4 linked regions of the Anolis sagrei genome follow. The protein of the gene in region 1 interacts with the protein of each later gene in a pairwise test. Links are inferred from orthologs where the notes say so. Each region holds a gene or a part of one and is shown on either strand. Other genes may lie near its edges.

What was found.
Region 2: the proteins of SPRY2 (region 1) and UBASH3A interact in binary tests that used the Homo sapiens proteins (3 or more experiments, as listed by UniProt). The two-hybrid records come from large-scale screens. The link is inferred for Anolis sagrei from reciprocal best matches to the Homo sapiens genes SPRY2 and UBASH3A.
Region 3: the proteins of SPRY2 (region 1) and OTX1 interact in binary tests that used the Homo sapiens proteins (3 or more experiments, as listed by UniProt). The two-hybrid records come from large-scale screens. The link is inferred for Anolis sagrei from reciprocal best matches to the Homo sapiens genes SPRY2 and OTX1.
Region 4: the proteins of SPRY2 (region 1) and HSD3B7 interact in binary tests that used the Homo sapiens proteins (3 or more experiments, as listed by UniProt). The two-hybrid records come from large-scale screens. The link is inferred for Anolis sagrei from reciprocal best matches to the Homo sapiens genes SPRY2 and HSD3B7.

What each region holds. Positions count from the first base shown.
Region 1 is NC_090023.1:117,507,860-117,516,268, reverse strand, and holds the start of SPRY2 (protein sprouty homolog 2), read left to right. Parts: upstream 1-5,207; 5' UTR 5,208-6,133; intron 6,134-8,409.
Region 2 is NC_090023.1:74,952,365-74,960,486, forward strand, and holds the start of UBASH3A (ubiquitin-associated and SH3 domain-containing protein A), read left to right. Parts: upstream 1-4,940; 5' UTR 4,941-4,990; coding exon 4,991-5,103; intron 5,104-5,985; coding exon 5,986-6,039; intron 6,040-8,094; coding exon 8,095-8,122. UniProt on the Homo sapiens protein: Interferes with CBL-mediated down-regulation and degradation of receptor-type tyrosine kinases. Promotes accumulation of activated target receptors, such as T-cell receptors, EGFR and PDGFRB, on the cell surface.
Region 3 is NC_090021.1:152,704,970-152,712,591, reverse strand, and holds the start of OTX1 (homeobox protein OTX1), read right to left. Parts: upstream 3,132-7,622; 5' UTR 2,953-3,131; intron 827-2,952; 5' UTR 738-826; intron 1-737. UniProt on the Homo sapiens protein: Probably plays a role in the development of the brain and the sense organs. Can bind to the BCD target sequence (BTS): 5'-TCTAATCCC-3'.
Region 4 is NC_090026.1:14,544,608-14,552,246, forward strand, and holds the start of HSD3B7 (3 beta-hydroxysteroid dehydrogenase type 7), read left to right. Parts: upstream 1-4,434; 5' UTR 4,435-4,505; intron 4,506-7,639. UniProt on the Homo sapiens protein: The 3-beta-HSD enzymatic system plays a crucial role in the biosynthesis of all classes of hormonal steroids. HSD VII is active against four 7-alpha-hydroxylated sterols. Does not metabolize several different C(19/21) steroids as substrates.

The sequences.
Region 1 (8,409 bases):
GTTTTGAACTTCAGCTCCAAGAAGTCCTAGTCAGTTTGTTCCATAGGTTTCACTGAAATGTTCTCTTTAGGAAACTTGGTTCTTTAGTGTGTCTACTGGAAGTTGACTATTGTGTCACACTGGATGACCTAGGCCCCTTCTAGACTGCCACATAAAATCCAGATTATCTGATTTGAAGGGGATTACATGGCAGCGTAGATTCATATAATCCAGTTCTAAGCAGATAATCTGGATAATATGGTAGTGTAGAAGGGGCCCCAGTTGAAAAAAAATACCATTGTTTATATTTTTCACTTTTGCCAGATCTTGTGTCCTTAATTCCAGTGAAGGCAGAGAGCTTACTGTGGACCCTTCCACACAGCCCTATATCCCAGACCAGGGGTCAGGAACCTTCGGCTCTCCAGGTGTGGTGGACTTCAACTCCCACAATTCCTTGAGGCTCGGCATTCACCCCAAAGGCTTACCTTGGCCTCAAGGAATTGTGGGAGTTGAAGTCCACCACACCTGGAGAGCCGAAGGTTCCCCATGCCTGTAAGGCAGGAGTCCCCGGTGGCGCAGTGGGTTAAACTGCTGAGCCGCTGAGCTGCTGAGCTTGTTGACTGAAAGGTTGCAGGCTCGATTCCAGGGAGCGGCATGAGCTTCCGATGTCAGCCCTAGCTTCTGCCAACCTAGCAGTTCGAAAACAGGCAAATGTGAGTAGACCAATAGGTACCGCTCCGGCGGGAAGGTAACGGTGCTCCATGCAGTCATGCCAGCTACATGACCTTGGAGGTGCTATGGACAACGCTGACTCTTTGGCTTAGAAATGGAGATGAGCACCGCACCCCAGAGTCCGACAGGACTGGACAAGCGTTCTTTCTCCCACCCTGGACATTCCACAGATATATAAACCCCACTTGCCTAATTTCCAACAGACCTCACAACATCTGAGGATGCCTGTTATGGATGCAGGTGAAACGTCAGGAGAGAATGCATCAGGAGCATGGGCATACAGCCCGGAAAACTCACAGGAACGCAATTAACATTTACTTTTGCTCCTTCTGTGCCACAGTTATGGCATCTACACTGTGAAATGAACACAGTTGGACACTGTATTGACTCCACAGCCCAATGCTATGGAATCTGGATTTGCAGGTTGATGAGGCACCATATTTTTTTGGCAGAGAAGGCTAAAGGCCTCCTAATATTACAACGTTCATGATTGCACAGCTTTGAGCCATGGTAGTTCAAGTGGTATCAAACTGTGCTAATCCAACAGTGCAGAGGAACCAGGTATCTATCCTATTTTCGAAAGAGGGCTGAAAAGGAGCGAGGAGCAGCCTTTGCTTAAAGGTTGGCACCTTAGTAAACGATCAGGAAGAGGGAAGGCTGAGATTTGTCCCCACAGCCTCCGATGGGGATAATCCAGCGACTGATCCCTTTCTTTCGCCTCCCTCTCTCCCTCTCCACTCGGCCAGGTGATTGGATTACCTTCCCTCTTCCAAGAGAAAGGGATTTAGGAAGTGCAACCTTCGTGGTGCAATCCTCCCACCGCGTGCCATTTATTTACCTCCTTTTGGGGTAAAAGGGGTAGCGGCGCCTTTAATACCCGCGCCTGGCTTTATCAATGGGGCAAAGGCGGGAGGCAGGCTCTCGGCTTTTAAAGGTGCCTCTGTACGATTGAGCTGCCCGGGTACAATGCTATGGGATCGGGAAGGTTGCCCTTTAAGTGAAGCATTTCGTTCGTTGAGGCTTCACTCATCCCGTTTACACGGGTCAATCCCTTTGCAGACGCCAAACGCCACCCTCTTAGCGGCCGAGTAAAGCCAGGGATCAAAGTTTGAGCTTTCCTCTTGAATTCTGAGATAAGGGGCGCATCTACACTGCAGGTGGAATGCAGTTTGGCACCGTGTGAGTTGCCATGGAGTTGTAGTTTGACCAGGCGTGGAGGCTTTTCCTCCAAAGGGTGCTAGTGCCTCCCTAAACTACAACTCCCAGGTCTCCATGGGACAATCCTTTTCACTGCCCTGGTTCAATGCTGTGCAATCCTGGGAGCTGTAGTTTTCCAAGGCCTTTCACCTTTACTGACAAACCACAGTGCAACTATGTATTTGTCGAAGGCTTCCATGGCCGGAATCATTGGGTTGCTGTGAGTTTTCCGGGCTGTGTGGCCATGTTCCAGAAGCACTCTCTCCTGACGTTTCGCCTGCATCTGTGACAGGCCTCCTCGGAGGTTATGTGGTCTGCTGGAAACTAGGCAAGTGAGGTTTATGTATCTGTGAAATGCCCAGGGTGGGAGAAAGAACCCTTGTCTTGCATGTTCCAGAAGCATTCTCTCCTGACGTTTCTCCTGCATCTATGATAGGCATCCTTTGAGGTTGTGTGGTCTGTTGGAAACTAGGCAAGTAAGGTTTATATATCTGTGGAATGTCCAAGGTGGGAGAAAGGACTCTTGTCTTGAATGTTCCAGAAGCATTCTCTCCTGACGTTTCTCCTGCACCTAGGGCAGGCATACCCAGAGGTTGTGAGGTCTGTTGGAAACTGGGCAAGTGGGCTTTATGTATCTGTGGAATGTCCAGGGTGAGAGAAAGGACTCTTGACTTGCATGTTCCAGAAGCATTCTTTTTTATTTATTTCAAATATTTGTACCCTGCCCTTCTCAACCCCCACAGGGGGACTCAGGGCAGCTTACAGACGGCAACGATTCGATGCTCCCACATACAACATAATAAATACAATAATTACATATAAGTAAAAACATTAAATTAGTTTAAAATTAAATCCATTTAAAATAATACTGGCTGGTTAGCCTTATTTATTTAGGACTCTTGTCTTGCATGTTCCAGAAGCATTCTTTCCTGATGTTTCTCCTGCACCTATGGCAGGCATACCCAGAGGTTGTGAAGTCTGTTGGAAACTAGGCAAGTGGGGTTTTTATATCTGTGGAATGCTCAGGGTGGGAGAAAGGACTCTTGTCTGCTTGAGGCAAGTGTGAATGCTGTAACTGGCCACCTTGATTCCCACTGAATGGCCTTGCATCTTCACAGTGCAACTCCTATCACCCCCTAGCATTAAGCCAGGGCAGTTCAGGCTGCCTTGCTTCTACAACAGGCATGGGCAAGCTTTGGTCCTCCAGATGTTTTGGGCTTTAACTCTCACAATTCCTAACAGTGGGAGTTGAAGTCCAAAACACCTGGAGGGGTGAAGTTTGCCCATGCCTGTTCGATGCATTCAAAACTTCATCACATTAGAGAGAAAAAATCCACTTGAAATCTGGTTTCTGTCTCCTACAGAATTCTGGGATTTATAGTTTTGTGAGTCTGTTACTGGCTCCTTCGTAAACCACAAATCCCAGAATTCTGCAGGAGACAGAAACTGGATTTTAAGTGGATTTTTCCTCTAGTGTGATAAGGCCAGAGTCTTTCCAGAGTGGCTGCCTTGCCTTTGGCTTCCTCCACACTGCCCTATAACTGCACTATACGAGCCTACACTGACCATATGCTGCATTTTCAAGGCGAAGAGCACTGGATGTGACTCTTAATGAGACATTCCACATTATCACGGGGTGTTTGTGCCCTACACCACTGGAGAAATTACACTTCAAAGCCCCTTCTCTCCCACTGCAGAACTGAGCAGCCACTCTAGAGCAGGGTTTCTCAACCTGGGGGCCGGGACTCCTATAGGGGTCACAAGGGGAATGTCAGAGGAGTCACCAAAGACCATCAGAAAACACAGTATTTTCTGTTAGTTGTGGGGGTTCTGTGTGGGAAGTTTGGCCCAGTTGTATTGTTGGTGGGTTCAGAATGCTCTTGGATTGTAGGTGAACTATAAATCCCAGCAACCACAACTCCCAAATGTCAAGGTCTATTTTCCCCAAACTCCACCAGTGTCCACATTTGGGCATATTGAGTATTTATGCCAAATTTGGTCCAGATCCATCATATGCTTGAGTCCACAGTGTTCACTGGATGCAGGTGAACTACAACTCCAAAACTCAAGGTCAATGCCCACCAAACCCTTCCAATGTTTTCTGTTGGGCATGGGAGTTCTGTATGCCAAGTTGGGTTCCATTCCATCGTTGGTGGAGTTCAGAATGCTCTTTGATTGTAGGTGAACTATAAATCCCAGCAGCCACAACTCCCAAATGTCAAGGTCTATTTTCCCCAAACTCCACCAGTGTCCACATTTAAGCATATTGAGTATTCGTGCCAAATTTGGTCCAGATCCACCATGTATTTGAGTCCCCAGTGCTCTCTGGATGTAGGTGAACTACAACTCCAAAACTCAAGGTCAATGCTCACCAAACCCAGTATTTTCTGTTTGTCTTTGGAGTTCCCTGTGCCAAGTTTGGTTCCACTCCATCGTTGGTGGAGTTCAGAATGCTCTTTGATTGTACGTGAACTATAAATCCTAACAACTACAACTCCCAAATGACAAAATCAACCCCTCCCTCAAACCCTACCAGTATTCAAATTTGGGCATATCGAGTATTTGTGCCAAATTTGGTCCAATAAATGAATCATAGAATCATAGAGTTGGAAGAGACCTCATGGGCCATCCAGTCCAACCCCCTGCCAAGAAGCAGGAGAATGCATTCAAAGCAACCCCGACAGATGGCCATCCAGCCTCTGTTTAAAAGCTTCCAAAGAAGGAGCCTCTGCAACACTCCAGAGCAGAGAGTTCCACTGCTGAACAGCTCTCACAGTCAAGAAGTTGTTCTTACTGTTCAGATGGAATATCCTTTCTTGTAGTTTGAAACCATTGTTCTGCATCCTAGTCTCCAGGGCAGCAGAAAACAAGCTTGCTCCCTCCTCCCTATGACTTCCTCTCACACATTTATACATGGCTAAAATTCAACTTGCATATTCGATATTGACATTACGATTCATACCAGGAGCAAAATTAAGAGTTGTGAAGTAGCAACGAAAATAATATTATTGGGGGGGGGGGCGTTACCACAACAGAAGGAACTGTATTAAGGGCTCTCGGCATGAAGAAGGTTGAGAAGCCCTGCTCTGGAGTGTGTCTCCGCCGGCGTTGCCCTTTTGAATGAGCGGCGAGAAGCCGAGCCCAAGCGAGCAGGCAGGCAGGCAGGCAGGGAAAGGAGGGACGCGCGCGCATGCGCACACGCGCCCCCATTCTGGCGCTCGGGCGAGGAGGGAGGGGGGAGGAAGAGGGAGAAAAGGGGAGGGGGGGTGAGGTTGCAACGAGGCGGGACCGGATGCGATATATCCTCCGGGACAACAACTGCTCTGTTCCTCCTCGGATCCACATGACGCCATTTACTGCGGCTTTGAGCGGAGAGAGCTCACCCTGCCTCCTCCGGAAAGAAGAAGAAGAAGAAGAAAAGGAGGGAGGGAAGGAGGGGAAAGGAGGGGTGGGAAGGAAAGCGAGCCAGGGAAGGAGGGGAGGCGGCAGAAAAACGCCGCCGCTCCTGGCGCCCGGATCTCAAAGCTGCCCTTTCCTGCTCCAGCGCAGGGAAAGCGGGGGAAGCAAGCAGCAGGCGGGGGGCTTCTCCTTCTTCTTCTCCTCCTCCTCTCTCCCCCTTCTTGCTTGGCTTCCCTGCCTTTCCAGAAAGCCTTCTAAGTCTGGCTTGGCTTGGGGGTCTCGCGCACCTTGGAGAGAGAGAGAGAGAGAGAGAAAACACGCGCGAGCCCACGTTTCTGCACAAACAGCGCTCGGAGTCACGCAGCCACCTTCCAGCCTCGATTGCCCGTCTGCACTGTCTCTCTTCTCCCAGATTTGCTTGAGATCCTCGCCGCCGCTAGAGAAGAAACCTCCGAAGCCACTTTTGGGATCTTAATTCGGGGAACAGCCCAAGCCCTTCTCCCTTCGAGCCCCTTCTCGACGTCTCTGGCCATGCCTTCCTCTGTAGTGTGGTGATGCCTGGCTTGGGAGCGACTCCGGATTGACGAAGAGACCTCTGGTTCATTGAGAAAGAGAGAGAGAGAGGACAAGGCAACCTCGCCCCGATTGACAGAAAAAGGGGCGCCTTCACAAACAGCTCTGAGATTGGTTTGGGTTGCTATTTATTCGCCTCCGGGGGAAAAATAAAGGAAGGTGGGACGCGACTTTTTCCCCTCGTGGGTTTCGGAAAGGGAACTCAGCAAGCCGACGTCTCAATGATTCTTCTGGCTTGCAACCTGGACTTGAAGTGAGTTGGGGTGGTTTTTTTTGTGGGGGAGGGAATCAAGAAGGCTTTGGTTTCATGTTTTGGTGGGTTTGGATTGGGAAGAAGAAGAAGAAATCAAGGGGAAAGAAGGGAAGAAGAGAGTATTTGTGTCTGTGTGTGTTGTTAATGGAACGGATGGGGAGATTTCCCCCCTTTTTGCAGGAAACAAGCGCCTTGGGAAGAAGAGGGGGAAAGACTCAGGCTACAACTACAATCCCACATTATGAGAGTGTGGACTCGGGGCTCTTCCACACAGCCCTATATCCCAGAATATCAAGGCAGGAAATCCCACATTATCTGAGTGTGGACTCAACCCAGTTCAAAGTTGATATTGTGGGATTTTCTGCCTTGATATTCTGTTTGGAAGGACCCTGGGGAGAAGGAAGAGGGCAAACTTTGGCTGCAGGACTTTTCCCCCTTCTTTGCAGGAAAGGGGTCGGATTTTGAGGGAGGGGATGTTTCCAAGGTTTAATGTATTGTCAAGGCTTTCATGGCCTGAATCACTGGGCTGTTGTAGGTTTTTTCGGGCTATATGGCCATGTCCTAGAGGCATTCTCTCTTGATGTTTCGCCTGCATCTGTGGCAAGCATCCTCAGAGGTTTCTGAGGTTTCTCGGGCCCTTTCCACACAGCTAAATAAAAATCACACATTGGGTTGTTGTAAGTGTTTTAGGCTGTATGCCATGTCCCAGAAGCATTATCTCCTGACATTTCACCTGCATCTGTGGCAGGCATCCTCACAAACTCTGCCACAGATGCCGGTGAAACGCCAGGAGAGAATGCTTCTGGAACATTGCCATTCAGCCCGGAAAACTTACAGCAACCCAGTGATTCTGGCCATGAAAGCCTTTGACAATACAAAATCCCATGTTGTCTACTTTGAACTGAGTTATATGGCAGTGTGGACTCAGATAACCCAATTCAAAGCATTATATTGGATTTTCCACCTTGATAATATGGCTGTGTGGAAGGGCCCATAGACTGAAAGCTTGGAGAGTCACTTCCTTTCAGATGGTTTGGCCAGTGACAGATTTGCCCCAATTCCCAAAGGAGCTTTGGGCTGTTCCACACTGTAGAATGAATGCAGTTTAGCACCATTTGGAACTGTCCCGGCACCATGCTATGGAATTATAGGAGTTGTACATTGGCACTCTTTTTTCTGAAGACATTGTCAAACTCCAGTTACATTGATCCCACCATTTGCAGCCATGGGAGTTCAAGTGGCATCAAAGTGCATTAATCCTACTGTGTAGATGGGAAAACTAGGGTTACAGTGTAGCTCTGCCAAGAAATGTGTGCCTGACAGGATCCTGTCAAGTGAAAATCTTGTCCAACCCCAACCCCCAACTTCACTTGCTTGTTGCCCTTCTTAGGACACATCTGCACTGCAAAATTAATGCACTTCAACACCACTTGAATTGTCCTGGCTCAGTGCTATACAATCTTGGCTGTTCTAGTTTGGTGAGGCACCAGCACTCTTTGGCAGAAGATGAAATACTTTTTCAGGGCCCTTCCACATAGCCCTATAAACAAGACTATCAAGGCAGAATATCAATATCTGCTTTGAACTGGGTTATCTGAGTCCACACTGCCATATATCCCAGTTCAAAGCAGATATTGATATTCTGCCTTGATAGATTTGGTTATAGGGCTATGTGGAAGGGTCCTGAAAAAGTATTTCCACACTGCCGTATATCTCAGTTCAAAGAAGATATTGTGGGATTTTGTTCAACTCTGTGGAAGGGGGCATAAACTAGAATTCCTTATGTGTTGTTGAAGTCTTTCACGACCAGGATCACTGGGTTACTGTGAGCTTTCTGGGCTGTATGGCCATGTTCCAGAAGCATTCTCTCCTGATGTTTCACTCACATCTATGGCAGGCATCCTCAGAGGTTGAGGGGTCTGTTGGAAACTAGGCAAGTGAGGTTTATATATCTGGAATGCCCAAGGTGGGAGAAAGAGCTCTTGCCTGCTTGAGGCAAGTGTGAATTTTGCAAATGGCTATCTTGATTAGCAGTGAATGGCCTTGCAGAATTCCCTATCATTGAGTGGTGCCAAACCACCTTCGTTTGCCCGTGTAGATGCACCCTTAGGTGTCCTTTTAAAAGCCGCCTTCTTTGCCACTGCTGGAGTTGGTGAAGTCTGTGCGAGTGCAGATCGGAAGTGAGTGATTGCCTAGTTGAAATCTGCATTGTTTTGCTTCATGTGTGTGTATGTGCTGGCCTTTCAAGGCTTAAGACAAACCCATGAATCTCGGGG
Region 2 (8,122 bases), about 43 Mb from region 1:
CAACCCAAGAAGCAACTGTATACATGGACATCATCTGATAGCCAATATGAAAGTAAAATAAACCATATGTGATTTTCCTGCTTCTTGGTAGGGGGTTGGACTGGATGGTTCATGAGAACACTTCCAACTCTATGATGCTATCATTGGGAAAAGAAAATAGAGAATTCTCTGCGAAAACAAAATCAGAAGAAAATTGCGGCACAGACCATGAACTGCTAATATTTTAAAAAGAGAATAAAACTAAAGAACATGAAACAAGCCAGCATGCCAAACCACAACCTGAAAAAAACATCCCTGTGGAATTTAAAGATAATGTAAAATGTAGATTTACACTATTAAGCCTAACTGAGCCAGGGACACTGTCAGGAAAGAATACAAAAATACATTGTCTGCAGCCAAAACAGAAAGAAATATCTGTGGATGGCAGATGAAAGTCTTCAAGCAGTTAAGGAATGGTTGTTAAAATTCTCCAACATAGATGCTCTTGAATAATTTCAGTTTTTGGACATATTGGTCTTCTAAGCTCTCCCTCTTTATATGGCAATTGTATTACATTACCTACTTCAAACAGTGATAGTTCCACCCTACAAAGTTTTTTGGTGCTCTTATTCTGCTGGGTAGGAACCAAGATGTAGGTCCCAGGCCCCTCAGTATTTCCTAACTGGGGCCCCTTCCACACAGCTGAATAAAACCCCACAATATCTGCTTTGAATTGGAATATATGGCACTGTGGACTCAGATAACCCAGTTCAAAGCAGATATTGTGGGATTTTCTGCCTTGGTATTCTGGGTCATATGACTGTGTGGAAGGGCCCCCAGAGTCCTTTTCTAGGAGCAACACAGTTATAGGGTACTCCAGTGTTTTTAGTAACACCTCAAAGCCAAAATATCTATATATGTAGTAATTTGAGAAATGTTCCCAACAGGTATAAACTACCAGGAACAAACCCCTGGGAATAACTTTTCTCAGTTCGATGCAATTTTCACATACATGCTCTAGAACTAGAAATGATGAGATTCAAAGGATATTTCATTTCAGAGCTTGGCCTTCTGCTCTGACCAAATGATTAAGCAAAACAAAGGGAAAACTTTGCTTCCCTGTGGCAACTGCTTGTGTTGCTTTAGGTATGTCGCATCCTTTGAAAATCAGCTAGAAAAGAAGCAGTTTTGGAAAGAACAACATTATGATCATGATCAAAATTATTACTCACCTCTTCCAATGAAGCCATTATCACATGTCAAAATACATTTTCTTTGCATTATAATAGTTGGCCAGCTAGAAATCCCGCAGTCTTCTCTGCAGATATTTTCATTGAGGCACCTCGTATTGCTCGTTGAATCATTGTAGAAGATGGCATTATGACCGGCGTCAGTGTAATTCAACCCATCTGGAGAGATCAGGTAGCCTCAAATGGCATTGCTCCAGTGACCAGGAAGGTAAAAAGGCAGCAAGCCTTTTAATTAACCATAAACAGGAAGAGGAATGTTGTAGTATTTGCAAATATATCCAACGAGTCTCTGGAAATGGCACCAGATGTAAGTGTGTGTTATCTGTCCATATGAAAGAAAGGAGAAATGTAATTTGGTTGTATAGTTTTTCCTCATTAAAGGCCTGCCAGGAATGTAACAAAGAGCATCTGAGTAACAGAGAAGAGCTTGCTTCCAGAAATACGGAAGAGATAACAGTGGGAGGCATTTCATCTCTCATGTCTCTCATATACTCACAAGTACACAGTTTTCTGCAAGAAGCTTTCTGTTCTGTGAAACCCAAAGAGCTTGATTTGCAACAGAGAAGGTTACACTTGGAGACACAGTGTACACATTATTATTTTCTGTACATTACACGTGTTTCACTCAAATTGTCAATATTTTTACTGATTATAACACTCTCGAGTTTGTTGCTCTTCAGATGTATTGGACTATAATCCCCAGCTTACTCAGGTACTATGACTGGAGATAGATAGATAGATAGATGGATAGATAGAGATGTGTGTGTGTGTGTGTGTGTGTGTGAAGTGTTTGTGGGCCACTCTAGGTCCTTCATTGCAATGTTTATGCTTCCAGATAAGTTATAGTCAAAATATAGAGTTCACTATTATCTGTGGTTTCGGGTATCAGTTGTGGGACTCTTGGAACATATTCCCCATGGATATAGGAGGTTGTACTGTACTGATTATATCCTCAGCAGTGGAGGGGATGTTTGTTGAGTGTGGAAAACATCCTTTCTTGAAACATAATTTTCAGAATCAACCACTTGTACTCCCAAAAATCTGTTCTTAAGATGAAAAGCACATGTCTTTGTTTCAGATAGATTAGGAATCAGCTGGGTTTGTCTGTAATAGGCAGCAAGAGCACCTAAAGCTTTGAAGAGCTTCTGTTCAACCATCTCAAAGCTCCCTGCTTGAGCGGTAATGGCACGATCATCAGCATAGATGAAACTCTCTATCCCTTCTGGCAGTGGCTGGTCATTTGTGTAAATGTTGTACATTGATGGAACAAGCATGCTTCCCTGAGGCAGGCCATTCTTCTGTTTTTGCCATCTGTTTCTCAGGCCCTGGAATTCAACAAAAAAAGCTCCTGTTTAAGAGTAGATTTTCCATGAAGTGGGCGAGGTGGTAGTCCTTTGTGATATCATAAATTTTCCTCAGGAGAAGGCAATGATTTACAGTGTCATAGGCTGCTGACAGGCCTATGAAGACATCTGGAGCATAACCCAAATACCTGCGAGTTACCCTGGATTGTTCTCTGACCTACACGAAGCACTGCCTGAATACCAAGCAAAATGTGAGTGCTTGAAAGCTGATTGGCACAACCTGGGGATCACAACCAGATACAGTGAAGACAACAGCCCTTGTGGTATGCTACTCTACTGCTGAGTACACATGCCCAGTGTGGAACACATCTCACCACGCTAAAACAGTGGATGTGGCTCTTAATGAGACATGCCACATTATCACAGGCTGTCTATGCCCTACACCATTGGAGAAATTATACTGTCTAGCCGGTATTGCACAACCTGACATTTGCCAGGAAGTGGTAGCCAATAATGAAAGGACCAAGGCAGTGACATCTCCGCCCATCCCCTGTTCAGATATCAGCCAGCATGCCAATGCCTTAAATCAAGAAATAGTTTTCTAAGATCTACAGAGATAGTCGCAGGAACACTTCAGCAAATGAGAGTCCAAAAGTGGCAGGCTAAAACCAGGAACCTCAAGCCATGGCTGATACTGAATGAGAGACTCCCCCCGGGCCTTGTAAATCAGTTAAATTAGCCTCCTCACATAAGTGGTACCTAAATTTCCTACTTGACAGATGCAACTGTCCTTTTAGGGCTGCAAAGGTCGACAACAAGCTACACAATTTTGGTCGGGAGCTCACTCTGACCTGGGCTGGCTTCAAACTCATGACCTTTCAGTCAGTAGTGATCTTAATGCAACTGACTGTTGTGACTCAGCTGGAATCAGAGAGTGTTTCTGATGAGGATGATGGGACTTAGGTTCACAGTCTGGTTCAAAATGTCCCTGTTATAGACAGTGAAGAAGTGCAGTTTCTCACAGCAAGGCATGAGAGTGTTGATACTGAAAATAGCCAGGTGCAGGTGCAGATTGACTCAGAGAAGGAGGACGGTTCACAACCTGATAATGAGCAAGCAGGGAAACAGGCTGACACTAACGAACAGACTGACCTTGATGAAATGGGAAACTTAGATCGGGCTGACCGTTTGGAATTCCGAGTTCAAAGGAGTGAGAGAATAGCTAACAAGAGGGAGGTCAGAGGCCAAAGAAGCGCCTTCATGTTTTGTAAGGGTATTAAGCAGTGTGTTTGAGACCAAACCTTCGTCAAAGCAACTTTGCATTCAACTAAGAAGCTTGCCATTGCTTGGCTAGATTATCTTGCAGTTTTTGTGTTCATGGTTTCAGGTCTTTGTCATGTTCTCTTGGGCTTTTGCTTCGCTGGTGCCTTTTTGGATTAAGCTTCAAAGTGCTATATTATATTGATCTTTTGGAACATTAACCTTTGCTTTTAAGAAATTTTTACCTTTTATTTTTAATAAACTATAAAGACTTCTGGCTGTGTGCAGTTTGGTGTTTTGTAGCCAGGAGAATCTACTCTGAGGTGCAACACTGACTCCCAGCCAGCTGTGCCACAGTCACAGTATCTACATAGATGTCTTCATAGACTTGTTAGCAGCCTATGACACTGTAAATCATTGCCTTCTCCTGAGGAAAATGTATAATATCACAAAGGACTACCACCTCACCCACTTCATAGGAAATCTACTACAAAACAGAGGCTTTTTTGTTGAATTCGAGGGCCAGAGAAGCAGATGGGAAAAACAGAAGAATGGCCTGCCTCAGGGGAGCATGCTTGTTCCATCAGTGTGGGTTACAATAGAGTTAAAACACATTACCATAAAGTATAGATATAAAACACATAAAATATGTAGTACAAAGGTTCAAATACAATACAAATAGAATGTAAATTTAAAATTTATAGTTTTACTACTAAAAGAGATAGGTCTTCAATTGTGTCTTGAATACTGACAGCTCATTTAGCTGTCAGAATCTCTTCCAATATTCACAGAGAATGTTGAAAATGTTGTATTTATAATTTAACATACAAAGAAATATTCTACATGAACATTTCATTCATACTGACAACTCCTCTTTGAGGAAATCGGTTTACATCAGAGAAGGCACCAATCTAATCTGCGAACAGTCACTGAAATGAAATGTATAGCTCTGAGGCAGGGTGGGCCAGTAACCTGTAATCCACATTCAGTCCAAGGTATTTACCTTCCCCTCACTTTGAGGCTGTCTGCAGCAATAATTTTAAGAGCCACACCATGCTGTGAAAACAGGATGTCAACTTGTGTCAAAAAAGATCGAAGGAGGTTTTGAGGTTTTGATTTTTATCACAGGAGACTCTGCCTACACACTCTTTCTCTGCACCTTTGTCTACGTTGCATTCGCAGAAGAGAAAGAGAGAGATGGCAGCAACTGAGATACCACTATATTCCAAAGTCCTAAGCAAGCACAGAAATAGAAATAGCCAGTCTTTACTGGAGCCTCTCTTGATGAATGGATTCTCTGTACATATAGCGTAAGTATCTCTTCTACTGCATACAGTTCCTCTCCTATTTACTGGTATATAACTAACTGAGTTGGCTTACAGTTTAAAATCATGGCTTCTACTCAGGGGTGGCTCAACCCATTACGCAAAGTAAGCATTTGCAGTATAGTTGATTTTGCCCAGGGGCGCCCTTGAAGCGCTTTTGGGGGAAAATAGACCTTGACATATGCAAGTTGTAGTTACTGGGATGTATAGTTCACCTACAATCAAAAAGCATTCTGAACTCTACCAATGATGGAATTGAACCAAATATGGTACACAGAACTCCCACGACGAACTATATATATATATATATATATATATATATATATATATATATATCAGTGATTGGTTGGGGGGCGGGCGGGCAAAATACTGTTTGCTTACCGTTGAAAATTACCTAGGGCTGCCTCTGCTTTTACTTTAAAGTATGTAAGAATGGGAGAGTGTATGAGGAAGGAAGAAAAAAAATAAACTTTTCCAGGTACTATATATTTTACATGTTGGATAAATGGGTTAGGGCAGCCCTGCTTGCTTTAAAAGTAAACTGGTATTCAGAAAGGAAGCAGAAAAGGGTGTTTTGTTTTCTTTAGGGCTAGAACATTGTGTCCATTTCTGGGCAACATAATTCAAGATGGGTATTGACAAGCAGGAATGTGCCCAGAGAAGAGCAACTAATGATCAAGGTTTGGAAGCTAAGTCCTATGAGAAGCAGTTTAGGAAGCTAGGTATGTTTTCAGGATCAGAGTTTAATTTAATAAGGCGTCATGTTCACAAAGCATCTTTTCAAACTGATATCAGAAATAAAGTTATTCTGATTCAATGTGATTGTGGCTTTCATTACTTAATGTGAGTTTATTGTGCTCTCCTCAGGCTAAAAGCTTTGGCAGCTACTGGGCAAAAGTCAGTAGAAGATGCAACAAAATGGTGAGTGGGAGCAAGGAATATTTTCAAACAAGGTGTCATAGAAACCATCCCAAGTCAGGGACAAACACAGCGAACCTGGCTAAGTACATCTTCAAGACATGAAGTTCATATCACATGGTTGTACGGTAGAATTAATTATTTCATAAGCCAGTTAATGCTATATGTGTAAGATATGGCTTGTTAACTTTTCTATGACTGGTGGCCCCCTGATGGCGCAGTGGGTTAAACTGCTGAGCTGCTGAACTTGCTGACCAAAAGATTGGTAGTTCGAATCTGGGGAACGGGGTGAGCTCCTACTGTTAGGCCCAGCTTCTGCCAACCTAGTAATTCAAAAACATGCAAATATGGGTAAATTAATACATACCGCCTTGGTGGGAAGGTATTGGCGCTCCAGGCAATCATGCCGGCCATGTGACCTTGGAGGTGTCTATGGACAACGCCAGCTCTTCGGCTTAGAAATCGAGATGAGCACCACCCTCCGGAGTTGGACACGACTAGACTTAATGTCAGGGGAAACTCTTACCTTTACCTTTTATGACCTTTTATGACTGATCATTGTGGAGCACCTTTGGTTTTTAAGAGGAAAAAATGGATGTAAACATATGGAGGCCCAGTGATAAACATGAGCCAAGGAGTGACTGTTGGTCATTAAATTTTAATTAATGCCTTGACTGATTGACCACAAGCGATGTACAAGAACTACTATAGTGTAGTGCTTTGAGAATTGGACTAGGTCTTTGGAATTTGAATTTTTGTTCAGGAATGAAAACCCACTCAGTGACCTTGGGCATGTCATATTCTCGGATCCTGAGAGGAAGACAATAGAAAACCTCTTGTGAATAAGTCATGTTAAGAAAATATTATGATAGGTTGTAAGTCAGAGCTAAATTAAAGGCATAAAATAGCAACAAATGTTCACTTGAAACAGGTCACAGAGCTCTGCAGATAAATACTGAAGTCTGCTCTCTAGCCACCTCTCTAATGTCCTTGTGGTTTGTGTGGCCAAAACATTTTTTTAAGAATTGCTTTTGGGCTATAAATAATTACTCTATTTTTAAAGTGTTCTAATTGCTGCGGCTATGCTATTTCTGGTGGTTGCAAAGCCCCATTTTTGTTATTTTAAATAATAATAATAATAATAATAATAATAATAATAATACACTTTTATTTATACTTCGCCCTTCACTCCATGGGGAGTCAGAGCAGATTACAGTATAAACAGATACCAGCAAACCTTCAATGCCTTGTTACAATACAATGAGACACACAAACACAAACAAAGGCAAAGGCTTCTCCTTTCATTTCCGGCTTTGGAGACAGTGCTCATGTCTGGCTCTGGGGGAGGTGCTGTTCTCCATTTCCATTCTGAGGATCCCGTGTTGTCACATCCTGGACATGTGACTGGTATGATTGTTTGGAGCATCTTATGCCTTTCCCGATGAAGCTGTACCTATTTGTCTACTCACATTTGCATGTTTTCAAACTGCTGTGTTGGATTTTAAACTGTAAGCTAACAGTGGGAGCTCACCCGGTCCCACAGATTTGAACTGCCAACCTTCAGGTCAGCAGTTCAGCAACACAAGGGTTTAACCCATTGCATCACCACATCCCCTATTGCCTTGGAAATGAGGTTAAATGGGAAAGCTTCCACCATTTCCAAAGCCCTACAGTCTGATGGCATGATTATGGATATATCAAGGGAATGAACTATTCCAGCAACAGGCTGGTTAGTTTAGAGGCCTGCTCAAAACCCACCTACCCCCAACTTTTAGGTTAAGCAGATACAAAACCAGTTTGATCCCACAAGAACACTTTCCTTCAGTTCCAACCATCTATTAAAACTATTTTATTTTATTAAACAATTTGTATACATCTATTTATTGCAAGACCCTAGGGAGTGTACAAATAAAATTGGTACCAATTGTACTTCATTTATATCCATGGAGCTTTGTTTTAGCATAAATGAATTTGCTGGCATAGATACCCATTGCCCTTTTGTGGATAGAAGAGTGCTTGCACTATTTTTAATCTTAATACATCCTCTGTTAATTGTAGGTTGCATTCTCACTGCAATGATCCCTCT
Region 3 (7,622 bases), on another chromosome or scaffold:
CTCTCTCTCTCTCTCTCTCTATATATATATATATATATATATGGGAAATATAGAAAAGAGATACACACACACACACATATGCAGAAGGCCATTGATAATAAAGTTTCAAGCCGGCCTTCCTTGAAAGTGTTGGGTCCCGTCTCTCAAAGAAGGCCGCTTGAAGCGCATTAGATCCGTCTCTGTATAGACTGAGCCTTCCTTCAACTGTTTTGATTTTTCTCAAAGGAAAAAGCAGAAGCAAACTCCTTTTGAAGGCGTCAAACCGATCTCATAATTTCCCAAAGTCTTGTCCTCGCGCAGTTTTGGAAAAACACACATCCACACAACCAACATGGCGGCTTTCTAGGGAAACTAGAAGTGTTAAGAAGGGAGTCAAGGAAGGAAGGGGGGGTTAAGGCATGGGGTGATTCTTCCTCCCTGTAAAGCCCTGGTGATGCTTCCCATACAATCGCCGAGGGGTTTCTCGGAGGGACAATGCGGGCTGCTGAGGGAGGGAGATAGGGCCATTATTTTAAAAAGATAATTGGATTAGAAATCAAAACGAGATTCCAAAAAGAAAGAAAGAGAGAGAGAGAGGAGAGAGAGAGAGAGTAATTAATTGAAAAAGGGGGACAGAAGGGCAATTAGAAACCGCGAGTGGCTTAAAAACAAAACGGGGTCCTTTGAAATCCACAGAGATCCCGACGAAGGAGGAGGAAGTTTGGGTCCAGTTTTGGGGCGATTATTAGGAAACTCACTCGTGTCGCTGCGGGTTTTAGTGCGGCGAAAGGAAAAGGCGCATCCAGGCTCCTTAAGGGCTGCGAAGAAGCGACGGCATTGGCTTTTCCTGGAAAGAGGGAAGAAAGGGAGGAAGGGGGGGGGGGACACAAGAAGAAGGACACGGATCGCATTATATTGTATTACAAACCCTATCAAGTCGCTCCTGACACGGGGGAAAAATAATCCTTGACTAGGAAGGGAAAGTCGTGCCTGAAACGACGCCAACATCCCCAGAAACTGCGGAAAGAGGGGACAAAGGCCGCATCCACACAGAATACTCAAGGCGCTTTCGAACTAGCCTTCTGCAGGAATGGAAAGGTCCGATGATGCGGGTGGAGGCTTTCTAAGAATGGGATTTATTGAGACAGGCAGCCGAGATGGAACCCCAAAGAGTAGGAAAAGTGGGGTTTCAAGGAGGCGAGGGGACAAGAAAGTAGACCTGTTGCCGCCTCTCTCTTTCCCCAGAAGGAAGGAAGGAAGGAGGGATGTGACTGGGGAAATGGCCCCGATCCGCCCTCTTCCACCCCGCGCCCCGCTTGGAAGTGCAATAATATGCTCAATGCTGACCCGTACCACGCACAATGTGGGTAATATGTGGTAAGATAGGTCAGGAGCACTTTCCCGGAAGCAAGGCCTTCCTTCCTCGTGTTGTCGTGGCTGGAATCACTGGGTTGCTTTGAGTTTTTCAGGTTGTATGGCTATGAACTCACAGCAGCCTTCTTTCCTCCTTCCCTTCGCTCTTTCCTTCCTTCCCTTTTCCTTTTCTTCCTTCCTACTTTCCTTCCGTCTTACCTTTCTTCCTACTTCCCTTCCTTCCTTCTTCCCTTCGCTCTTTCCTACCTTCCTTCCTTTTCTTCCTTCCTACTTTCTTTCCTTCTTACTTTCCTTCCTTCCTAATTTCTTTCCTTCTTACTTTTCTTCTTTCCTACGTTCCTTCCTCCCTCCTTCACTTCGCTCTTTCCTTCCTTCCTTTTCTTCCTTCCTTCTTACCTTTCTTCCTACTTTCCTTCCTTCCTACGTTCCTTCCTTCCTTCTTCCCTTCGCTTTTCCTTCCTTCCCTCCTTTTCTTCCTTCCTACTTTCTTTCCTTCTTACTTTTCTTCTTTCCTACTTTCCTTCCTTCCTACTTCCCTTCACACTTTCCTACCTTCCCTCCTTTTCTTCCTTCCTACTTCCCTTCCTTCTTCCCTTCACTCTTTCCTACCATCCCTCCTTTTCTTCCTTCCTTCCCTTCCTTCTTCCCTTCACTCTTTCCTACCTTCTCTCCTTTTCTTCCTTCCTACTTTCCTTCCCTTCTTCACTTCGCTCTTTCATTCCTTTTCTTCCTTCCTACTTTCCTTCCTTCTTACTTTTGTTCTTTCCTACTTTCCTTCCTTCCTTCTTCCCTTCGCTTTTTCCTTCCTTCCCTTCTTTTCTTCCTTCCTCCTCCCCTTGGCTCTTTCCTTCTTTCCCTCCTCCTTTTCTTCCTTTCTACTTTCCTTCCTTCCTTCCGTTCCGGCCTCGCGCTGTGCTTCCAGCAGGGCCGCAAAGCTAAGAGAGAGCGAGCGCGCGCGTGGGAGGGAAGAGGGCTCGAACCTCCTGGGACCCCGTCCTTCCTTCCTTCCTTCCCTCCCTTTCCTCTTCCTTTCCTTCCTTCCCTCTTTCCTTCCTATCCTTTTCCTTTCTTCCCTCTTTCTTTCCTTACCGCTTCCTTTCCTTTCATTCCCTTCCCTCTTTTCTTTCCTCTTCCTTTCCTTTTTCTTTTCCTTCCTTTCCTCTTTCCTTTCCTTCCTTTCCCTTCCTTCCCTCTTTCTTTCCCTCTTTCTTTCCTTCCTTCCTTCCGCCCGGACTCCCCCTCGCGCGCGCCCTTCCGCGCGCCTTTCCCCCCTCCGGACCCGACCAGAGAGAGAAAGTTTCAGGAAAGTTTCTATAGAAGGAGGAGGGGGGGGGTAGCTGGGGCAGGGAGATTGAAAGACGGAGAGAGAGAGGTCTCTCTGGGAGCCGCACCTCCAGCAACGGAGGGAGGGAAAAGTTGGCCTCCTCCGTGTCCGCCGCTCCGCCCGACGCCGCTGCTCCCTTCCTCTTCCCCTTGCCCGGACTTCCTTCCCAGGAGAGGCTCGGACTCCTCCAAAGGGGGAGGGGAGGGGGGGAGTGAGGGAGGGGGGAAGGGGAGGGAGGGGGCAGAGGGGGGCGGGGAGGGAGGGGGGCGCCTCACCTGTCCGCGCGAGAGGGAGGGGGGCGCCCCGACCGGCCCCGCGCTGCCTCTCTCTCTTCCCACGGAAACACCTCGCTCGTTCTTCAGATTCCCTCCAAGCCGCAGCCTCCCTTCGCCCGCCCAGCTGTTTAGCTGATAGGAAATGTCGCCCGGCGAAGATTGATCACCTTTCCCGGGCCCTCCCCGGGTATGTGAGCGCCGGGCGGAGGCGGGACCCGGGACGGCGCCAATGGGCGGGCGCGGGAGCGCCGAGCGACAGCCGCCGGGGCCAATGGCGGCGCGGGACGGGGCTCCCTCCCCCAGGCCACGCCCCGCGCCCCGCCCACGCTCCCCGGCGGCGCCCTCGGGGCAGGTAGAGCGGGGCAGAGCCGGGTTGGGGCCCCCAGAGGACATCCATGCGCGCCAAGGTCGGGGTCCCGCTTCTATCTATCCTGAGAAAGAAAGAGGACGGAGGGTAGGGCGGGCAAGGCTTCTGATTCCAAGAAAACTTTTCTGAGGAGCTCTCCAAGGAGAGAAGCGTGTGAAACAAGAGTAGGAACCAAACATGGACTGATCAGAAAGCAGGAGAGAGAGAGGCGGGTTCCTCCTCTTTATGGAAGCATCTTCCACATTGTAAACACTCACAAATCCGTGTCAGAGCCTCAACACGGAGCTCAGAAAAGGGGTCGGGACCCCCCGTTTCCCGTTTAGACACAACGAAGCAGACAGGACCAAGGCAGATAGGATGATGATGATGATCCGTTTTGATATCCTCAGGTTCTCTCTGCGAGGAAATCACCTGTTTGTGTATGTGTGTGTGTGTGTGTGTATACTAGCCGTCCCCATCCACGCTTTGCTGTGGCCCAGTCTGTGTATACGTGTTTCCTATGTGTATATATGCGTATATGTGGTTTTGCGCATGAGTTGTAATGTATTTTTTCATATTTTTGCCTTTTTAAGTCTCTTCTGTTGTGTTTTGCAGTGTTTTTATGAGTGATGGTCACTCGTTGGCTTGATGGGTGTATTGTGTCCAAATTTGGTGTCAATTCATCCAGTGGTTTTTGAGTTATGTTAATCCCACAAACGAACATTTATACACACACACACAAAGGTGATTTCCCCGTATGTATGTATGTATGTATGTATGTATGTATATGTGTGTGTGTGTGTGTGTGTGTATATATAAATGTTCGTTTGTGGGATTAACATGAGTCACACACACACAAACCACTGGATTAAATTTCCATATATGTGTGTGTGTGTGTGTGTGTGTGTGTCTCTCACATACACAAACCACTGGATTAAATTTCCATATATATGTGTGTGTGTGTGTGTGTGTGTGTGTCTCACACACACAAACCACTGGATTAAATTTCCATATATGTGTGTGTGTGTGTGTGTGTCTCACACACACACACACCACTGGATTAAATTTCCATATATGTGTGTGTGTGTGTGTGTGTGTGTCTCTCACACACACACACAAACCACTGGATTAAATTTCCATATATGTGTGTGTGTGTGTGTGTGTGTGTCTCACACACACAAACCACTGGATTAAATTTCCATATATATGTGTGTGTGTGTGTGTGTGTCTCACACACACACAAACCACTGGATTACATTTCCATATATGTGTGTGTGTCTCTCTCTCACTCTCTCTCTCTCTCTCTCTCTCACACACACACACACAAACCACTGGGTTAAATTTCCATATATATATGTGTGTGTGTGTGTGGGTCTCACACACGCACAAACCACTGGATTAAATTTCCCCATAGATAGATAGATAGATGTGTGTGTGTCTGTCTGTCTGTCTCTCTCACACACACATACACACACAAAGGCGATTTCCCCATATATGTGTGTGTGTGTGTGTGAGAGAGAGAGAGATCCTTGGTCACGAAAAATTTGGAGAACAACAAAAGCTTTCTGAGTGTCACAAATCGTGTCAGCAACAACATTTTATCTGCGGGGGGGGGGGGTAACAACTCTTCCATCAAAAGGAAAATAATTCTGTCTATCCTGCCTTGTTATTGTTGCAAAGACTGACTTGTTTTCAGTCAATGTTTGGTTTCTATATTTGTTTTATACACCTTTATACCAAGGATCAATCACACAAACCTTTCCTTCCCTCTTTCCTTTCCTTTCCTTCCCTCTTTTCCTTTCCTTCCTACCCTTTTTCCTTTCTTTCCTTTCCTCTTCCCTCTTCCTTTCCTTCCTAGTCGGATTTATTACACTATTTTTAATTCCTGGGTTAATATGTCATTTCTTCATTGGTTCTATTATTGAAGACATGGAGAAAGTTTTATTCAATTGCAAAAAAAACCCCCATAAAAATACAAAACATACCGCTCGAGTTTTTCAGTGAATATCTCAACCAATTCCGACCTCACTACCTCTGAGGATGCTTGCCATAGATGCAGGAGAAAAGTCAGGAGAGAATGCCTCCAGAACATGGCCATATAGCCCGGAAAAACCTACAACAACCCAGTGATTCCGGCCATGAAAGCCTTCGACAATACCAAGTGTTGGTTTTGACCGAAAGACCTACAACATACTCAATTCCGACATAGTTTGTGGCAGCAAAACTGAAGTTTCTGGAGTTGAACAACTCCTTTCAAAGCAAGGGAAGCACAACTAAAGAAGAAATAATACTTTCGAAACAGGAACATGTTTTTTTCCCTGAAATGTTGTGACATATAGTGTTTTTTCCTGCTTAAACTTTCCCCTCCGCTTTTTATTTTGGAAGAGATCTGCCTCGAAGTGGAAAAGAATGGACGTTCGCAATAGTTTGTGTCCTTCATTCAAAAATCAAACGGGTCGGAAGGCATGTTTGTTTACTAGGTTGCGGTGAGTTTTTCGGTCTATATGGGCATTTCTCAGTAGCATTCTCTCCTGACGTTTCGCCCACATCTAGAGCAGGCATCCTTCCTTTAGTTTACAAACACACTTCTGAATTGTGCCTCTTCAATCCTGCCTTCCAGTCTTGAGAGAACTACAGCTGTGATTTGATGGTCTCAAGTAGTAGTGGAATTTGAATTCGGAGAGTATCTATCAAATTTAATCCACTAGTGTCTTATCGAAGGCTTTCATGGCCAGAATCACTAGGTTGTGGTAGGTTTTTCAGGCTGTGTGGCCATGTTCCAAAAGAGGCATTCTATCCTGACCTTTCGCCTGCATCTATGGCAAGCATCCTCAGAAGTTGTGAGGTAGGAATTGGTTGAGATATTCCTAACGTTTTGCCTGCACAACCTCCGAGGATGCCTGCTATTACTTACTTACTTACTTACTTACTTGCAGGCGAAACGTCAGGAGAGAATGCTTCTGGAACATGGCCATACAGTTCGAAAAACTCACTGCAACTCAGTGATTCCAGCCATGAAAGCCTTCAACAACAAATGTTTGTTTACCTCAAAATCAGCCCATGAGACTTAGAAATAGGTAGCAAAAAGTATGAGTAAAATGCGCTGGCATGTTTTTCCCAGGCTGGGATCTACACTGTCTCAGACTTGAACTGGATTATATGTGTCTACCAGCAATGTAGATATCTCACTTCTTTTCCCATCCGGGGTTATTTTGAGCTGCTTTTCTAAGTTTAATGTATTGTCGAAGGCTTTCATGGCTGGAATAATTGGATTGTTGTCGTTTTTTCCTCCGGGCTATATGGTCATCTTGTAGAAGCATTCTCTCCTGACGTTTCGCCTGCATCTATGGCAAGCATCCACAGAGGTTGTGAGTTTGTGCCAGCCACAAAAAAACCCCCCCGAAGTTTCTGGTGTAAGAACAACTACTTTCAAAGTCAAGTCCTGCACAATTACACAGGAAATAACACATTCAAACGAGGAACAGATTTTATTTTTTCGAATTTGGTGACATCGTTAAATTAACTGAAGCTAAAGACCTCCCAACCTCTGAGGATGCTTGATATAGATGTAGGCGAAACGTCAGGAGAGAGTGCTTCTACAAGATGACCATATAGCCCGGGGGGGGGGACTACAACAACCCAGTGATTAAACAGGAAAGAACACATTCAAACCAGGAACATATTTTATTTTTCGAATTTGGTGACATAGCTTAATCAACCTCAGAGGTCTCACAACCTCTGAGGTTGATTAAGCTATGTCACCAAATGTCTCACAACCTCTGAGGATGCTTGCCATAGATGCAGGCGAAACGTCAGGAGAGAGTGCTTCTACAACATAGACGGGGGGGAAAAAACCCGACAATCCTTTTCTAAGTTTGTTTAGAAGTTTTGCTTCCTTCCAACAGGTCCTTCCACCAAAGGATGTGAATCAGGATAGATAATAATAATAATAATAATAATAATAGATGGGAGTTATCTCCAGATCTACGTCTAGATAATAATAATACTAATAATACTAATAATACTAATAATAATAATAGATGGGAGTTATCTCCAGATCGGCCTACGTCTAGATAATAATAATAATAATAATAATAATAATAATAATAGATGGGAGTTATCTCCAGATCGGCCTACGTCTAGATAATAATAATAATAATAATAATCTCAAGAATATAGATAATAATAATAATAATAATAATAATAATAGATGGGAGTTATCTCCAGATCGGCCTACGTCTAGATAATAATAATAATAATAATCTCCAGAATATAGATAATAATAATAATAATAATAATAATAGATGGGAGTTATCTCCAGATC
Region 4 (7,639 bases), on another chromosome or scaffold:
TTTACCTGTATTCAGCTGTTAAAGCAGCGTTTCTCAAACTGGGGGCCAAGACCCCTGGGGGCGGGGGGTTGCAAGGCAGTGTTAGAGGGGTCGTCAAAAACCTTCAGAAAACAGTATTTACTATTACTCATGGAGTTTCTGTGTGGGAAGTCTGGCCCAATTATATCGTTGGTGTGGTTCAGAATGCTCTTTGATTGTAGGTGAACTATAAATCCCAGCAATGACAACTCCCAAATGTCAAGGTGTGTTTCCCCCAAACTCCATCATTGTTCACATTTGGGCATATTGAGTATCTGTGCCAAGTTTGGTCCAGATCCATAGCTGTTTGGGTCCACAGTGCTCCCTGGATGTAGGTGAACTACAACTCCAAAACTCAAGGTCAATGCCCACCAAACCCTTTCAGTATTTTCTGTTGGTCATGGGAGTTCTATGTACTAAGTTTGGCTGAATTCTATTATTGGTGGGGTTCAGAATGCTCTTTGATTGTAGGTGAACTATCAATCCCAGCAACTACAACTCCCAAATGTCAAGGCCTGTTTCCCCCAAACTCGACCAGTGTTCACATTTGTGCATATTGAGTATTTGTGCCAAGTTTGGTCCAGATCCATCATTGTTTGAGTCCATAGTGCTCTCTGGATGTAGGTGAACTACAACTCCAAAACTCAAGGTCAATGCCCACCAAACCCTTCAAATATTTTCTGTTGGTCATGAGAGTTCTATGTACTAAGTTTGGCTGAATTCTATCATTGGTGGGGTTCAGAATTCTCTTTGATTATAGGTGAACTATAAATCCCAGCAATTACAACTTCCAAATGTCAATGTGTGTTTCCCCCATACTCCACCAGTGTTCACATTTGGGCATATTGAGTATCTGTGTCAAGTTTTGTCCAGATCCATCAATGTTTGAGTCCACAGTGCTCTCTGGATGTAGGTGAACTACAACTCCAAAACTCACGGTCAGTGCCCACCAAACCCTTCCAATATTTTCTGTTGGTCATGGGAGTTCTGTGTGCCAAGTTTGGTTCAATTCTATCATTGGTGGGGTTCGGAATGCTCTTTGATTGTAGGTGAACTATACATCCCAGCAACTCCAACTCCCAAATGTCCAGGTCTATTTCCCCCAAACTCCACCAGTGTTCACATTTGGGCATATTGGTTATTTGTGCCAAATTTGATCCAGTGAATGAAAATACATCCTGCATATCAGATATTTACATTATGATTCATAACAGAAGCAAAATTACAGTTGTGAAGTAGCAACAAAAATAATGTTATGGTTGGGGGTCACCACAACATGAGGAACTGTATTAAGGGGTCGCAGAATTAGGAAGGTTGAGAAACACTGTACTTACTTACTTAGGCGATCCCTCGTTGGACGAGTAAGATGGTCTTCCATCATGGGTTTCCTTGTGGGTCCGCATGTGGCTGTGGAGCCCTATTCTTGCTCTGCATCTTCTTCCGCAGTGAGGGCATTGGTTTCCAGGTGGAAGGCGGTCCCGGTCGGGGTTGGCTTGACGCGCCTTCCTCCTGGCACGTTTCTCTCTTTCACCCTCCACTCGTGCCTCCTCGAATTCTGCAGCACTGCTGGTCACAGCTGACCTCCAGCTGGAGCGCTCAAGGGCCAGGGCCTCCCAGTTCTCAGTGTCTATGCCAGAGTTTTTAAGGTTGGCTTTGAGCCCATCTTTAAATCTCTTTTCCTGTCCACCAACATTCCGTTTTCCGTTCTTGAGTTCGGAGTAGAGCAACTGCTTTGGGAGACGGTGGTCAGGCATCCGGACAACGTGGCCTGTCCAGCGGAGTTGATGTTGGAGGACCATCGCTTCAATGCTGGTGGTCTTGGCTTCCTCCAGCACGCTGACGTTTGTCCGCTTGTCTTCCCAGGAGATTTGCAGGATTTTCCGGAGGCAGCGCTGATGGAATCGTTCCAGGAGCTGCATGTGACGTCTGTAGACAGTCCATGTCTCACAGGCATATAGCAGGGTTGGGAGGACAATAGCTTTATAGACAAGCACCTTAGTATCCCTACGGATGTCCCGGTCCTCAAACACTCTTTGTTTCATTCGGGAAAATGCTGCAGTTGCAGAGCTCAGGCGGTGTTGTATTTCGGCGTCGATGTTGACTTTGGTGGAGAGGTGGCTGCCAAGGTAGCGGAAATGGTCGACATTTTCTAATGTTACACCATTAAGCTGTATCACTGGCATTGGAGAGGGATCGGCTGGTGACTGCTGGAACAGCACTTTGGTTTTCTCGATGTTCAGTGACAGGCCAAGCTTTGTGTATGCTTCTGCGAAGGTGTTTAGAGTGGCTTGTAGATCTTCTTCTGAATGCGCACAGACGACATTGTCATCAGCATACTGGAGTTCTATAACAGATGTTGTTGTGACCTTGGTTTTGGCTTTCAGTCTGCTGAGGTTAAATAGCTTGCCGTCTGTCCGATAGATGATTTCCACTCCGGTGGGAAGCTTCCCATCAACAAGGTGAAGTATCATGGCGATGAAGATGGAGAATAAAGTTGGGGCAATAACACATCCCTGTTTGACGCCCGATTCCACCTTAAATGGGTCACTTGGGAGCCATTGCTGTCCAAGACTGTTGCCATCATGTCATCGTGGAGGAGCCGCAGGATGTTCACAAATTTGCTTGGGCACCCGATTTTTTGGAGGATGGTCCAGAGAGCGCTGCGATTCACTGTGTCGAATGCCTTGGCAAGGTCGATGAATGCCATGTACAGAGGTTGGTTTTGTTCCCTGCATTTTTCTTGGAGCTGTCGTGCAGTGAAGATCATGTCCACAGTTCCTCTGGAGGGGCGGAAGCCGTTCTGGGATTCTGGGAGGGTGTCTTCTGAGAGGGGAAGAAGGCGGTTTGCAAGGATTCTTGCGAGGATTTTTCCAGCAGAGGTTAGAAGGGAGATACCTCGATAGTTTCCGCAGTCTGTTCTTTCCCCTTTTTTGAAGAGGGTGATGATGGTGGCATCCTTGAAGTCTGCTGGGATTTTCTCGGTCACCCACACTTTTTCTATGAGCTGGTGGAGTTGGTGTGTCAGCGCAGGTCCTCCCTCTTTAAAGATTTCAGCAGGGATCCCATCCGGTCCGCTGGCTTTGTTGTTCTTTTGTTGGCTGATGGCATTGCTGACTTCTTCCAAACTAGGCAGTGCTGCAAGCTCATCCCTGGTTTGTTGCTGCGGGATTTGTGAGAGGACCTCTTCGGCCACACTGGAGCTGCGGTTTAGGAGGCTTTGGTAGTGTTCTTTCCAACGTAGTGCAATTGACTTTTGGTCCTTCAGGAGTTTGGTTCCGTCTGATGAGCGTAGAGGCTGTATGCCATGGTTTCTTGGCCCATAGATGACCTTTGTGGCTTTGAAAAATCCTTGAGCATTATGGGTATCTGCCAGGTGTTGGATTTCTTCAGCCTTCTTTGTCCACCAGATGTTCTTGAGTTCTCTTGTCCTTCTTTGGACCTCAGCTTTTGCACTGGCGTAGATCTTTTTCTTAGCAGCACAGTTGATGTCTCTCTGCCATGTTTGGAAGGCTTTCCTTTTCTTGTCGATTAGCTGTTGGATCTCGATGTCATTTTCGTCAAACCAGTCCATCAGTGTCCGTACGTTCCACGTACCGAAGTTCATTTTTCTTTTTTGGCCGCAGGATGGTGACCCCACTGGACGCGGCAGTCCAGTCAGGGATAAGTGAGGCAGACTATGTTTAGGGCACCTTTTCTAGCCCCCTCCCCGTGTGGGGTGAGCAGAGTGGGTCCTAAAAAGGGCTGCTCAGTTCGCGGATACAGCTGCCGAACTACTCAACTGCCTCGGACCTTGAGGTAGAGCGACTGAGTCCGTACCCACCGCCCATGTGCCAGTCTGTGACTAGGGGCTTCCAGATTTCACAGTCCTGCCCCCGTCGCCACTCGCTGATCGCCATGGGACTTTGGTTGCTTGGTTTTTATTTTCTTTGGAAGACGCCTGTGCGTGGGTTTTTTTAATGTGTGGAGGTCAGTGCACAGCTGAACAACACACAGTCTTCACAGATGAGGTTCCACTGGTGATGTAGTTTAACACAATGACCGTGGCTTCTCAGTCTGTTGCAGCCTTCTTCCGCCTTCGCAGCCGTTGTAACATGTGCCATGTTATCCTCCGCCTGCTCCGCCGTTGAGGTCTTTGGTCTTCGGACTGTGCTTGGTCTGGGACCTCCCCCGCGGCCACTCCTGGGAGTGCACGACTCCAGTTGTTGTGCCCACAGGTTCATCGGAACACGCAAGCCCCCTCACCACGACAAGGTGACAGTCCATCGAGGGGACACTGTGTTAAATGAGAAACACTGTGTTAAATAAAGAGTGTGTACATATTTTTGGGACAGAGGTAGGAGTCCTACTAGCGCTAGGACCCAGGGAAGCCAGTGGGCGGGGGATTTGAAAGGCTTCCCCAGTACAAAGCCACCCATTGGAAGTGAGAGAGGGAGAGACTGCAGAGTGAAGCAGAAGACCTTTCTGCCTTGGATTGCAGGTGGAAGTAGGTGAGTTTGTATGGATGCTTTCTTAAAAGGAGGATGCTAGTCCTCATGAAGGTCATGTTGCAGGTTCTTTTTTTGCATTGCTTACAAATCACCTCTTTGCTCCTTCCCTTCATAATTTTTTTTAAAACCCCAAGCCACAAAATTATAGCCCCACCTTGCTTCTTATGGGATTTGTAGTTTACAGAGGCACTAGAACTTTATTGGGAGTTTCTCGTTCTACACTGTAAAATTAATACAGTTTGATACCCCCCCCCCCTTTAAGTGCCATGGCTCAATGCTATATGGGAATTGTAGTTTTACAAGGTCTGACAAAGTGGGGTAGTGCCACAGCAAACTAGAAATCGCAGCATTCTAAGGGAATTCAACATTCTACACTGTAGAATTAATGCAGTTTGCCCCCCCCCCCCCTTTAAGTGCCATGGCTCAATGCTATATGGGAATTGTAGTTTTACAAGGTCTGAAAAGTGGGGTAGTGCCACAGCAAACTAGAAATCGCAGCATTCTAAGGGAATTCAACATTCTACACTGTAGAATTAATGCAGTTTGCCCCCCCCCCCTTTAAGTGCCATGGCTCAATGCTATATGGGAATTGTAGTTTTACAAGGTCTGAAAAGTGGGGTAGTGCCACAGCAAACTAGAAATCGCAGCATTCTAAGGGAATTCAACATTCTACAGTGTAGAATTAATGCAGTTTGCCCCCCCCCCCCCTTTAAGTGCCATGGCTCAATGCTATATGGGAATTGTAGTTTTACAAGGTCTGAAAAGTGGGGTAGTGCCACAGCAAACTAGAAATCGCAGCATTCTAAGGGAATTCAACATTCTACACCAGAATTAATGCAGTTTTACCCCCCCCTCCCCCTTTTCACTGTCATGGCTCAATGCTATATGGGAATTGTAGTTTTACAAGGTCTGACAAAATGGGCTAGTGCCTCGCCAAACTACAAATCCCAGGATTCCAGGGGATTCATTACCATGGCTCAATGCTATATGGGAATTGTAGTTTTACAAGGTCTGACATAGTGGGCTGGTGCCTCACCAAACTACAAATCCCAGGATTCTAGGGGATTCATTACCATGGCTCAATGCTATATGGGAATTGTAGTTTTACAAGGTCTGACAAAGTGGCCTAGTGCCACAGCAAACTAGAAAATTTAGGATTCTAAGGGAATTCAACATTCTACACTGTAGAATTAATGCAGTTCCCCCCCCCCTTTAAATGCCATGGCTCAATGCTATGTGGGAATTGTAGTTTTACAAGGTCTGACAAAGTGGGATAGTGCCACAGCAAACTAGAAATCTCAGGATTCTAAGGGAATTCCACATTCTACACAGTAGAATTAATGAACCACCCTCCCCCCAAATTAAATGCCATGACTCAATGCTATATGAGAATTGTAGTTTTACAAGGTCTGGTGCCTCGCCAAACTACAAATCCCAGGATTCTAGGGGAATTCAACATTCTACACAGTAGAATTAATGCAGTTTGACCCCCTCCCCTTTAACTGACATGGATCAATGCTATATGGGAATTGTAGTTTTACAAGGTCTGACAAAGTGGGCTGGTGCCTCGCCAAACTACAAATCTCAGGATTCTGGGGGAATTCAACATTCCACACTGTAGAATTAATGCAGTTTGATCCCCTCCCCCTTAACTGCCATGACTCAATGCTATATGGGAATTGTAGTTTTACAAGGTCTCACAAAGAGTGCCTTGCCAACCAGGATTCTATAAACCATGGAACACTAGAGAAGTCAAACTCCATTCATTCCGATTTCCAAAGCTTTAATTTAGGCTTGTTTTATTATCATATAGCGGTGTTGATACTTTTTTTCTTTACTCTGTAACTTTGTTGTATTTTGCCTGGATAATTTGTTGTAAGAGTTCTATATTTTGTTATTTCTTCCTTCCCTCTCTTGCTAGGTGCATCTAGACCATGTATGGGTAAACTTGGGCCCTCCAGGTGTTTTGGACTCCAACTCCCACAATTCCTAACAGCCTCAGGCCCTTTCCTTTTCCCCCTCAGCCGCTTAAGCGGCTGAGGGGGAAAAGGAAAGGGCCTGAGGCTGTTAGGAATTGTGGGAGTTGGAGTCCAAAACACCCGGAGGGCCCAAGTTTGCCACATCTGATCAACACTGTAGAATGAATGCAAGTTTGTCACTACTTTAACTACCATGGCTCAATATCATAGAATCCTGGGAGTTGTAGTTTTACAAGGTTTTCAGCTTTCCCTGCTGGTGCTTCAGCAAACTACAATTCCTATGATTCCATATAGCATGAAGTCAAAGTGGTGTCAAACTGCACTATATAATTAAAGGATGATGATGATGATGATAGTTCCCAAGGCCACCAGAAGGAACTACAGATTGCAATATTTTATTTATTTATTTATTTACGACATTTATATGCCACCCTTCTCATCCCGAAGGGGACTCGGAGAAGCTTTCAAGATATATATACATACAATATATTATATTATTAGCATAGTACAATATCAGTATTAAAAGGTAAAGGTAGTCCCCTGACACTAAGTCCAGTCATGTCTGACTCTGGGGTGTGGTGCTCATCTCCATTTCTAAGCCGAAGAGCCAGCATTGTCCGTAAACACCTCCAAGGTCATGTGGCCGGCATGACTGCATGGAGCGCCGTTACCTTCCCGCCGGAGCGGTACCTATTGATCTACTCACATTTGCATGTTTTCGAACTGCTAGGTTGGCAGAAGCTAGGGCTGACAGTGGAAGCTCACACCGCTCCCCGGAATCGAACCTGTGATCTTTCGATCAACAAGCTCAGCAACTCAGTGCTTTAACCCACTGCGCCACCAGGGGCTCCATAATTTTTATTAGTATTAGTATTAGTAATCAGTATTAGATATTACTATATTGGTCCCAGGCATAGTATGTACTTGCCAATTTGATTTACTGTATATACTCGAGTATAAGCCTAGTTTTTCAGCCCTGTTTTAAGGCTGAAAAAGCTCCCCTTGGCTTATACTCGAGTCAAGGTTATTTATTATTTTACTCTATTATTATTATTATTATTATTATTATTATTATTATTATTACATTTATAGGTTAGCTTTATTTATTTTTATTATTATTACATTTATTATTTTACTCTATTATTATTGGAAAGA